Xenopus tropicalis: one gene and its partner. The protein of the gene in region 1 purifies or fractionates together with the protein of each later gene. This does not show direct contact. Links are inferred from orthologs where the notes say so. Each region holds a gene or a part of one and is shown in the gene's direction. Other genes may lie near its edges.

What was found.
Region 2: the proteins of slc7a1 (region 1) and hs2st1 purify together in Homo sapiens (co-immunoprecipitation; 3 studies listed by BioGRID and IntAct, counting the BioPlex papers as one, with this or other methods). This does not show direct contact. The link is inferred for Xenopus tropicalis from reciprocal best matches to the Homo sapiens genes SLC7A1 and HS2ST1.

Annotation. Positions count from the first base shown.
Region 1 is NC_030678.2:154,474,601-154,479,220, forward strand, and holds the start of slc7a1 (high affinity cationic amino acid transporter 1), read left to right. Parts: upstream 1-1,627; 5' UTR 1,628-1,834; intron 1,835-4,620. UniProt on the Homo sapiens protein: High-affinity, low capacity permease involved in the transport of the cationic amino acids (arginine, lysine and ornithine) in non-hepatic tissues.
Region 2 is NC_030680.2:106,512,565-106,516,385, reverse strand, and holds part of hs2st1 (heparan sulfate 2-O-sulfotransferase 1), read left to right. Parts: intron 1-3,057; coding exon 3,058-3,296; intron 3,297-3,821. UniProt on the Homo sapiens protein: Catalyzes the transfer of a sulfo group from 3'-phospho-5'-adenylyl sulfate (PAPS) to the 2-OH position of iduronic acid (IdoA) or glucuronic acid (GlcA) within the heparan sulfate (HS) chain and participates in HS biosynthesis.

The DNA of each region.
Region 1 (4,620 bases):
GGTTCCAGGGACACTGGCTGTTTCGTAGGCAAATCAGAAATATAAACACACCGCCTGTTATTTCATCAAACATACATATTCTGTTTGGTTCCTATTCTCCTTACTCAAATGCAATGTTGTGTAACGCCCCAGCGCTGATAACTTCCAATCGGAGATTCAAGGCAAAATATTTGCCAGACTGGGAGATAGGCTCACAGTGTCCCTGTCCTTGTTGGCTGCACATGTCCCTCTTGTCTTCGGCTTTTGTTTTTTACTGAAACGTCAAATTTATATTGGCTTTATTGTGTGGCTGAGAGGCAGCTTGTAATATTCCCTTTACATACTCATCGGAGCCAATTGAATAAAATAGTATATAAAATACAGTCAGGAGTGAAATGTTCAGCCTTACGTGTGTATATATAGTGAATGCTGCACCCCCTATTGTAATATATATGGATATTATAAGTTACCAAAGAGTTTCATGACTATATGGAACTCCGAGTTTACTTATAATATTCTCATATTTTACAACAGGGGGTGCAGCATTTATTATAATACACAAGTTTCAATGAGTCATGACAGAAATTACATCACTCAGCATCGATAATAACTAATGATCACTAAGCACAGTTTATTAGGATATAGTTTACAGGATAGTCAGGGCTGTATTTAGGGCCTTTGCCACCCTAGGCACCGGACCTAAATACACCGTTTGGCGCATAAGTAACATCACATGCACCTACATCATTAAAGTGATGGGCAACCTGACCCCCTTACCCTCACTTATGGAAATCTGTGATGCCTGAGTGCATTTTTATATAGGTACCCGAAGGCCGCCCCCCAAAATCTGCCACCCTAGGCACAGGCACTTGGCTGCCCATATATAAATACATCAGTGGCTCTTGTGTATATTATAGAAATGAATGTATAATTCTTAATGATGTCATTAGTTATAATTGGTGCTCTGCCAAAAGCCTCCTTATGTAATTACATTTGAGAAATGTTGTATCTTTTTTGGTGCAGGAGCTCAAAGGGAAATGAAGGATTTTTCAGTAAGAATCCAGGACTGCAGGCTGAGAACAGGACAGTTGGGAGCTAACCCCAGGCTCAGCTGTCACCCTTTCTTTATGTCAACTCATTCTTGCTGCCATGTTTTCCCTTTACTCTAGAACTGTCATCATTCCTCAGCTCTCTCAGTCTTTATTCTCTTCCTCTGGGGGGGGGGGGGCTATACACTTTAGATATGCCCAGATATATATCCCCATAGGGTTTGGGAAGGATTTTGCCTTTACTCTTTTGCTTGTTTTTGAAAGTTAGACCTGGCAGCACAAACCCCACGTACACTTTGAGCCAACAACTGTAGGAACGATGGCAACGTGAATAATAACTACCCTGGCTCTGTTTCAGTTTTATACAGAAAAGGGGCACCCTCCACAAAGTGTTTAATTGCAGACGTCTAGTAAATATTGGTTTATTACAACTCTAGAGAGCCTGCCTGAGCCTGAACGGGCGGATAATGAAGTAATAAGGCTCTGTGAGGTACCAATCATGCACCGCAGCTCCCAGCCTTACTACTCCCGCTCCGGCCAATGGGAGCGGCGTATGTCAAGGTCACGTGTGAGAAGGGGCGCCCATGTAAGGCTCTGTCAGTCCTAGCCCCGCCCCCTCAGTGACGTGTAGCGGTACCTGCTCCAAGCAAGCCGGGGAGAGAGCCGGAGCTGTGAGTAATCTATTCCGGAGCGGAAGGCACTGTCACGGTTGAGAGAAAGGCTGTACCAAGTGCAGGAGGAGTTCGGTATTTTCCGAGAGCCCATCGTGACCCCCCCCACCGCGTCACATTTTCCGCTCCACAAAGGTAATGACAGCTGCTGTCCCGCCTTCTCTCGCTGCCTGCTCGCTACTCACTCACTGCTGTCGCTTCACAATGTGTATGAATGTACTTATAATGGCGACCCTGCGCCGCCCTGAGGCATGAAATGATAATAGTAATAATTATTGCCGGTACCAGCCGTGTTATGGGCACAAATATACCTCCCCACATGGCATGATGCAATAGCGCTGCCTCTTGGCTACTGGCTCCGCCCCTCCATGTGCCCCAGTCATGTGGGGTCTGCTACAGTTCTACGGGGGATGCTGGGACTGTGTGCCACAGCTAATGATATTTGTATATGATAAAAAAAAAATATATATATATATACGTATGTGTGTGTGTGTGTGTGAAACATTTGCTGTTACAGTGTATTGTATGGATACGCACAGGCTAAATGAGTAGGACTTATGCTGAAAATACATTTTGCCTGGTCTTTAATTTAAAAATATATATTTTTAGTTTTTTTTTTTTATAAGGCAGCAGTTATGATAGGGCTCCTTGGTGCCCTGTGGCCATAGGGGTGTTCCCTTACTTGCGTCAGTAATGGGGTGGGATGGGAGATACCTACATGGAGTCTCTTTGAATTATCTGCTCTTTTTAGCTCTACAATGAAACATATTTTTCATAATGAAAATAGAAATATGTTTAATTCAAACTCTGTTCATTAAAGGAATACTGCAATGGGAAAACATGATTTTTTTTTTCTGCAAAACTCATCAGTTAATAGAGCTTCTCCAGCAGAATCCTGCGTTGAAATCTGCTTTTCAAAACACAAACATATTTTTTATATTTAATTTTGAATTTTCACATGGGGCTAGCCATATTCTTCATTTCCCAGGGTGCCACAGCCATGTGACCTGTGCTCTTATTAACTTTAGTCTCACTTTACCGCTGCGCTGCAAGTTGGAATGATATGCCCCCCCTCCCAGCAGCCGATCAGCAGAACAATGGGAAGGGAGCAAGAAAGCAGTTCCCAGTAGGTATCAGAATAGCACTCAATAGTAAGAAATCCAAGTCCGGCTTGGGACTCCTCCAGTTACATGGGAGTAGGAGAAACAATAGGTTACCTGAAAGCAGGTCTAATGTGTAGCGCTGGCTCCTTCTGAAAGCTCAGACTCAGGCACAATGTACTGAGATGCGCCTACACACCAATATTACAGCTAAAAAAATACATTTGTTGGTTTAAGATTAAAATTTTAAATGGCAGAGTGAATTACTCACGACAGTATCCCTTAAAGCTCGTGTTGAACAAGGGGGTGTACGAGCACTTTATGGCATTAACATGGGACTTTCTATTGGCCCATTTCTGTTGCTTCCAGAATGGTTAGTTAATGGCTACTCATAAATATTTAATGACACTGCTGTGTAACGTGGGACACGTAGGGCAGGGATGGGCCAGGTCCCAGAATCCCATCACCAAGCTAAAGCACTATGGAAGGAGCAACTGGAGTTTTTTTTTGGGGGGGTAATGGGTGTAATTGCTAAATATGAAGGGCAGCAAGTTCTGCCTCTTTGCTGTAGGGGATATGGTGCTTACAGAGTAATGTGCCCTGACTGCCTGACATGAATGGTCCAATGGACACCCCCATCTTTCCTTCTGGGGGCCATAAAAATCCTTTTGAGGCCCACACTTTTCCTACAGCTGTTACTTGGCACTTGGACTGCCCTGGAATAGAGAATGTGACTACGTCCCTAGCTACTAGACCCAACCCACGAGATAGGGCAGCCTAAAAATTGCATTATGTGGGACTCATTACTAAAAAAATCTTCAAAAGAAAGAAAATAATCCCTTTTAGGTGATAAAATTCAGTGTCTTTAGGCCAGTTTGGTGTACTTTGTGTTTAGTAGCTGCTCACCAGCACTCTCCTTTCTGCTGTAGATTGCAAGCTCTGATGCACAAGCCCATCTATCACCTCTTACTTGTCGTGGCTACAAAAATAGACAAAGCTGATCATTTACTGATAATTGTCTCTACATGTGTTTTGGGAGAGGCAGTTCTTAGTACTGTCTATGGCAAGGTATTATCTGGCATTTGTAGCTGCTGCACCTAAGTAGCTCCTTGTGTCTTCACTTGACCTGTCTGGTGGACCTTTGGCTGATAAAATCTGGCCACTCCGTAAGTAGTAAAGTGCAACAATCTTCATTTATCTGAATTAATGGTTTTTTTCAGATTCTTTCTTGCCCACGTGAGATCTCCCTCAGGTGACAGAGCACTGCGTCTGACATTGCCCAAATAGATATTCCTAGTTTGACATTAGCCTACTGATAGCCATACAGGCATATAATTATCACAGATTTGGCCCACAGGCCAGTAATTGGATATTAATTGCCCCTATGTAGAGAACTGCATCAGTGGCCCTGTGTAGTTTGTGTTTAAATCAACCAGGTTGCCAGGCAGATGCCCGTTGGCACGCCCCTTATTTTTGCCCCGTACTCAAGCCAACAAGCAGGAGTGGTCTTACTCCATACTTGGCAACATGGGGAATCAAAGCAGCAATTAGGATGTGGGTGGTTTTTTAGCCTCATGGTTAAACCCCTGTTAGGTTTTATTGGGGGAGGTTTTATTTGTTCCCTGATTGGCTGTTCTACTAAAGGCTCTGTAAGTGAGTGTCCTCGATTGGTGATGCCCATGTCCTCCGCCCTTTAATAATATTCAGTGCCAGTGCCAGCGGGAAGTACGCAACCTGCTCTGTCAGTCAGTGAATGTGAGAAATCACAGGTGCCATGGCCAGGTTCAAGCAAGGACTCCTGGGAATCAATGTCCTGAGCTT
Region 2 (3,821 bases), on another chromosome or scaffold:
TAAATAGCTTCCTGTTTGCAGTCTAGCAGTTATAGCTGAGAGCACACATTCCTAAGGGAGGGTGGAGGGAGTTCTTAGCATTCTTGTCGGAGGGGAAGCAGGAGAGAGCTGAGTAGACTCTGGCCCCGGGAATGAAGAATCTTTCTAAAAGAGGAAGTCAGACACTCCAACAACATGTTTACAAAAAAGAAGACAAGGAATCCTGTGTTTCTTTTGATAGAGGACTCAACACAGCATTTCTATGAGTGCTTAGGGCTGTATTTACATAGACCTTTCTGATAAAGCTTACTTAGTTTTTACCTTCTCCTTTAAGGTAGCCATACAAAGGATGACCTGGACAATACTTCCATTGGACTGGGGTTAAAATAGCCTACCTTTGTATTATGTTGCATCCATTTGTGCAGACTACCTGAGCAGCAGGAAGTGAAGATGAGCTGCAGAGCTTAGGCTCAGGTCTGATAATCCTTGATCTGCGAGGATTTTGCAGGATATAATACATGCCCAGATGGTCAAACAGCATACTCAAAATTGTCCCAAACTGCCCATCTTTATCTGGGCTGGGTCCTCTTAAGAAGCATGTGTTGTTACTTGGCAATTAGGGTTTACCCCCTTTTTGTGAAAAAATACTAGCCTTCCTGTCTCTATCTGTGTTTCCTCCTTAATAATAATAACTGTATACAGAGTAAAAGTGAAAAGCTGTTTGTATTTACTCTACTGCACATGGGCATCCAGACCATAGAGAGAAAAGTTAGGAGGTTATAATCCCTGTGGGGTGCCTAACATTTTGGAGACCCCCAATGATTATGCCTTTTCTTCTCCATCGATGGGCAGTAGAACTGTATATGCAACATTGTTTGCCTTAGCTGGGGCAGCAGTCTACATAGACTTACATATTCATGACTGGTACCATTACTCGTCCATTTCAGGGGCTGTTCTATAGACCTATAAGCATAATGGTTCTCCCCAGTTAAATCAGTGGCAACTTTCACACTTCTGTAAATATTATTTTATTGTTCTTTCTAAATTGGGCATAGTAACTTGAAAATAGTTAATATTTAATTCAACCCAAAACTGCTATAATATCAGGCAAAGCTTACTCCTCCTTAAGACTGCTTGAGCACGCGCAGTTGCAGTTGATTTCCTGATTGCCCCAACTGCGCATGCTCAAGCAGAGTCCGTGTCGGCGGCGAGACCTGAAGCTTCTATGATTGAGCAGAAGATGGCGCCCAGGTATGCTGATACATTGCTCTGCTCTTTCAGGTCGGGGTTTGCGATAGGGGCAGTTTTCGGGCAAGTTACAGAGTATGTGAAAAGGGAGAGGTGAGGGTGGGGGTCGAGGCAGGCCAGTTAAGCTATAAGTTTTATAGCCTGGGGGTATAGGTATAGTTCTCCTTTAAGTATTAACAGATATTTTTTTTCAATATATTTTTATTTAGATTTTCAATTTCAGACAGAAAGAAAAAACTAAATAAAGTAGATGAACATATATACAATTGTAGTCTTTGGTTAGTTTACAAAACCGGTTTGATGGGATGTTATAGTCATATGCATATCTGGGTTAATTGCAAATTATAAAACATGTTTTTGTGTTACTGTTGCTTTGAATAGAACATAGTTTTGCAGACTAAACACTGTCCCCAAAAGGTGGCTTTCAGCACATATTACAGTGTGTGGCTCCAAAATCAAGGTGTTTTATTGTTGAGGGGTTTTACCATTTACATTCTGTTTAATAACCAGACAGAATAGTTGTGGCTCAGCTGGGTGCAATTTAGCAAACGTCATCTGACTTTTTAGTAACAAAAATGCTTTACAACAAAATGTAGCTAGCTGCCTAAAATAACTTCCAGGGTTTGTGCCAAGTGTTGGCAAATAAAGCTAATTAGCCACTTTTCCTGCACTGACTTATTCTTTGTCTCACTATTGTGTTGCTTAATGCAAAGCAGAACTTTAATTGAGCGCTATTCTGTCAGAAGCTTAATAAAGGTATATAGTCTTTAGAGCAAGAATAAATTCTCATAACACTGAGTTTAAAAACGCTTTATTGTAATGTAATGTTGTAACTTAATTATGCCAAGAAATATTGTCCCAAGTACCCTATTTAATTCAATTATAGTCTCTGTTTGGGATTATAACACAAACTGAACTGATTTAAAACTGATTAGAGTTTTCCTGCATTTACTTAAATGGAAACTAAATAAAAGGATATATTTTAAAAATTTGCTCTTTTAATTAAGTTTTTAAAAACTGCAAAAAAATGAAATTTCAATACTGAATATATATTTTTATTTCTGTCATGTTGAACAGTTTCCTTCAATTAGTGTGTTGTCAGTAAAGCTGGCTATACCGAGGCTGATAAAAGCTGTTGACTCAGACAATTTTAGTACCTTATTGGTCCATATAAAGGTGGCCATGCATGTAGCAGTAACGATATTTTGTGCCATCATCGGTCGCTGGAAAGATCGTTCCCACCCTCCATTGACGTTCAGGGCTGAATCGTCAGATATGGAGTTAGAAACAATAGAAATTCTACCTCCACCTGCCGAATCAGCCCTAAACGTAGATTTTTAACCTGGCCGTTCGTTGAGACAACCGATATCCGCAGCCTTTGCGATATTGGTGGTCTTGTCAAGCCGCCATACACGCAAGGAATATCTGACGTAACAAGGTTTTTGTACGATAATATCGGTGTGTGTATGCCCTACCAATACTGGCCAAGACAAGGACCACATTGATGCCAACAGATCTCCATGGGCCCACAGTATGATCCAGTAGTTGGCCCGGGCCAGCAATCAGATCATCCTGATTTGGTCCATCACATATATAACCAGTTCAGACAAAGATGTTGCCAAACAAAGTGTATGGGCAGCTTTAAAATGGTACAAAATCAAGGGCACTACTGCCATAGGCGGGTTGAGAAGCCTCAGGCGGCAGCGCCTAGCGAGGTCCCAGGGGTGGCAAAAAGCTGCTCCTGGTAACTTAATGAGCCAAAATTGCCTGTACCAGGCAACCATAAGAATTTATTAAGGTTCATCTTTTATTTCTCTGCTTACATTTCAGAAAGGGCAATAGCACGTCATGAGGTACGAGAAATAGAGCAGCGGCATTCCATGGATGGCACCCGGCAGGAAATTGTGCTTGATGATGATGAAGATATTTTAATAATTTATAACAGAGTTCCAAAGACTGCCAGCACTTCCTTCACAAATATTGCCTACGACCTGTGTGCAAAAAATAAATACCATGTACTTCACATAAACACAACCAAAAATAATCCAGTCATGTCTCTTCAAGATCAGGTAAGATGAATATCAAATTCCATAGCCTAATGTTGTTGGTGGTCAGTTTTAGGCTGATGGCACACAAGGTAATTTCTCCTTTCTGTTGGTGCCTGTAACTCCTCCTGTTGACTTTAATGGAAACCGCCTGTAAGTGCTGGTACAGGCATACAAAGTCAATGGCTAACAGCGTGGGTGGTTTGGGCAGTTCACCATTTGTTGAGACATTAGCCAAGTCCTTACCTTTTTTCAGTGAAGGGTTTTCATTGTTTCTATTGCACGCATTCAAATGCTGGATTACTGACCTTTCCGTTGTGTTCTTGCAGTATCTAACAATCCAGCAACCCAATGAACACTTCCAGCAAGGGCAACACAAAATAGCAGAAGCCAGTGTGCTGCTATGTGCCTTTGCATAATCTTTTTCCAGTCTCCTGAAGTAATGCTAACAAACCATCTATCTACAGTAATCCTTTTGCAGCTCACTCCCCACAGATCTCAGGCACATATTTCTTACATCAGCAATTTATAAAATACCAGTTTAAGTCA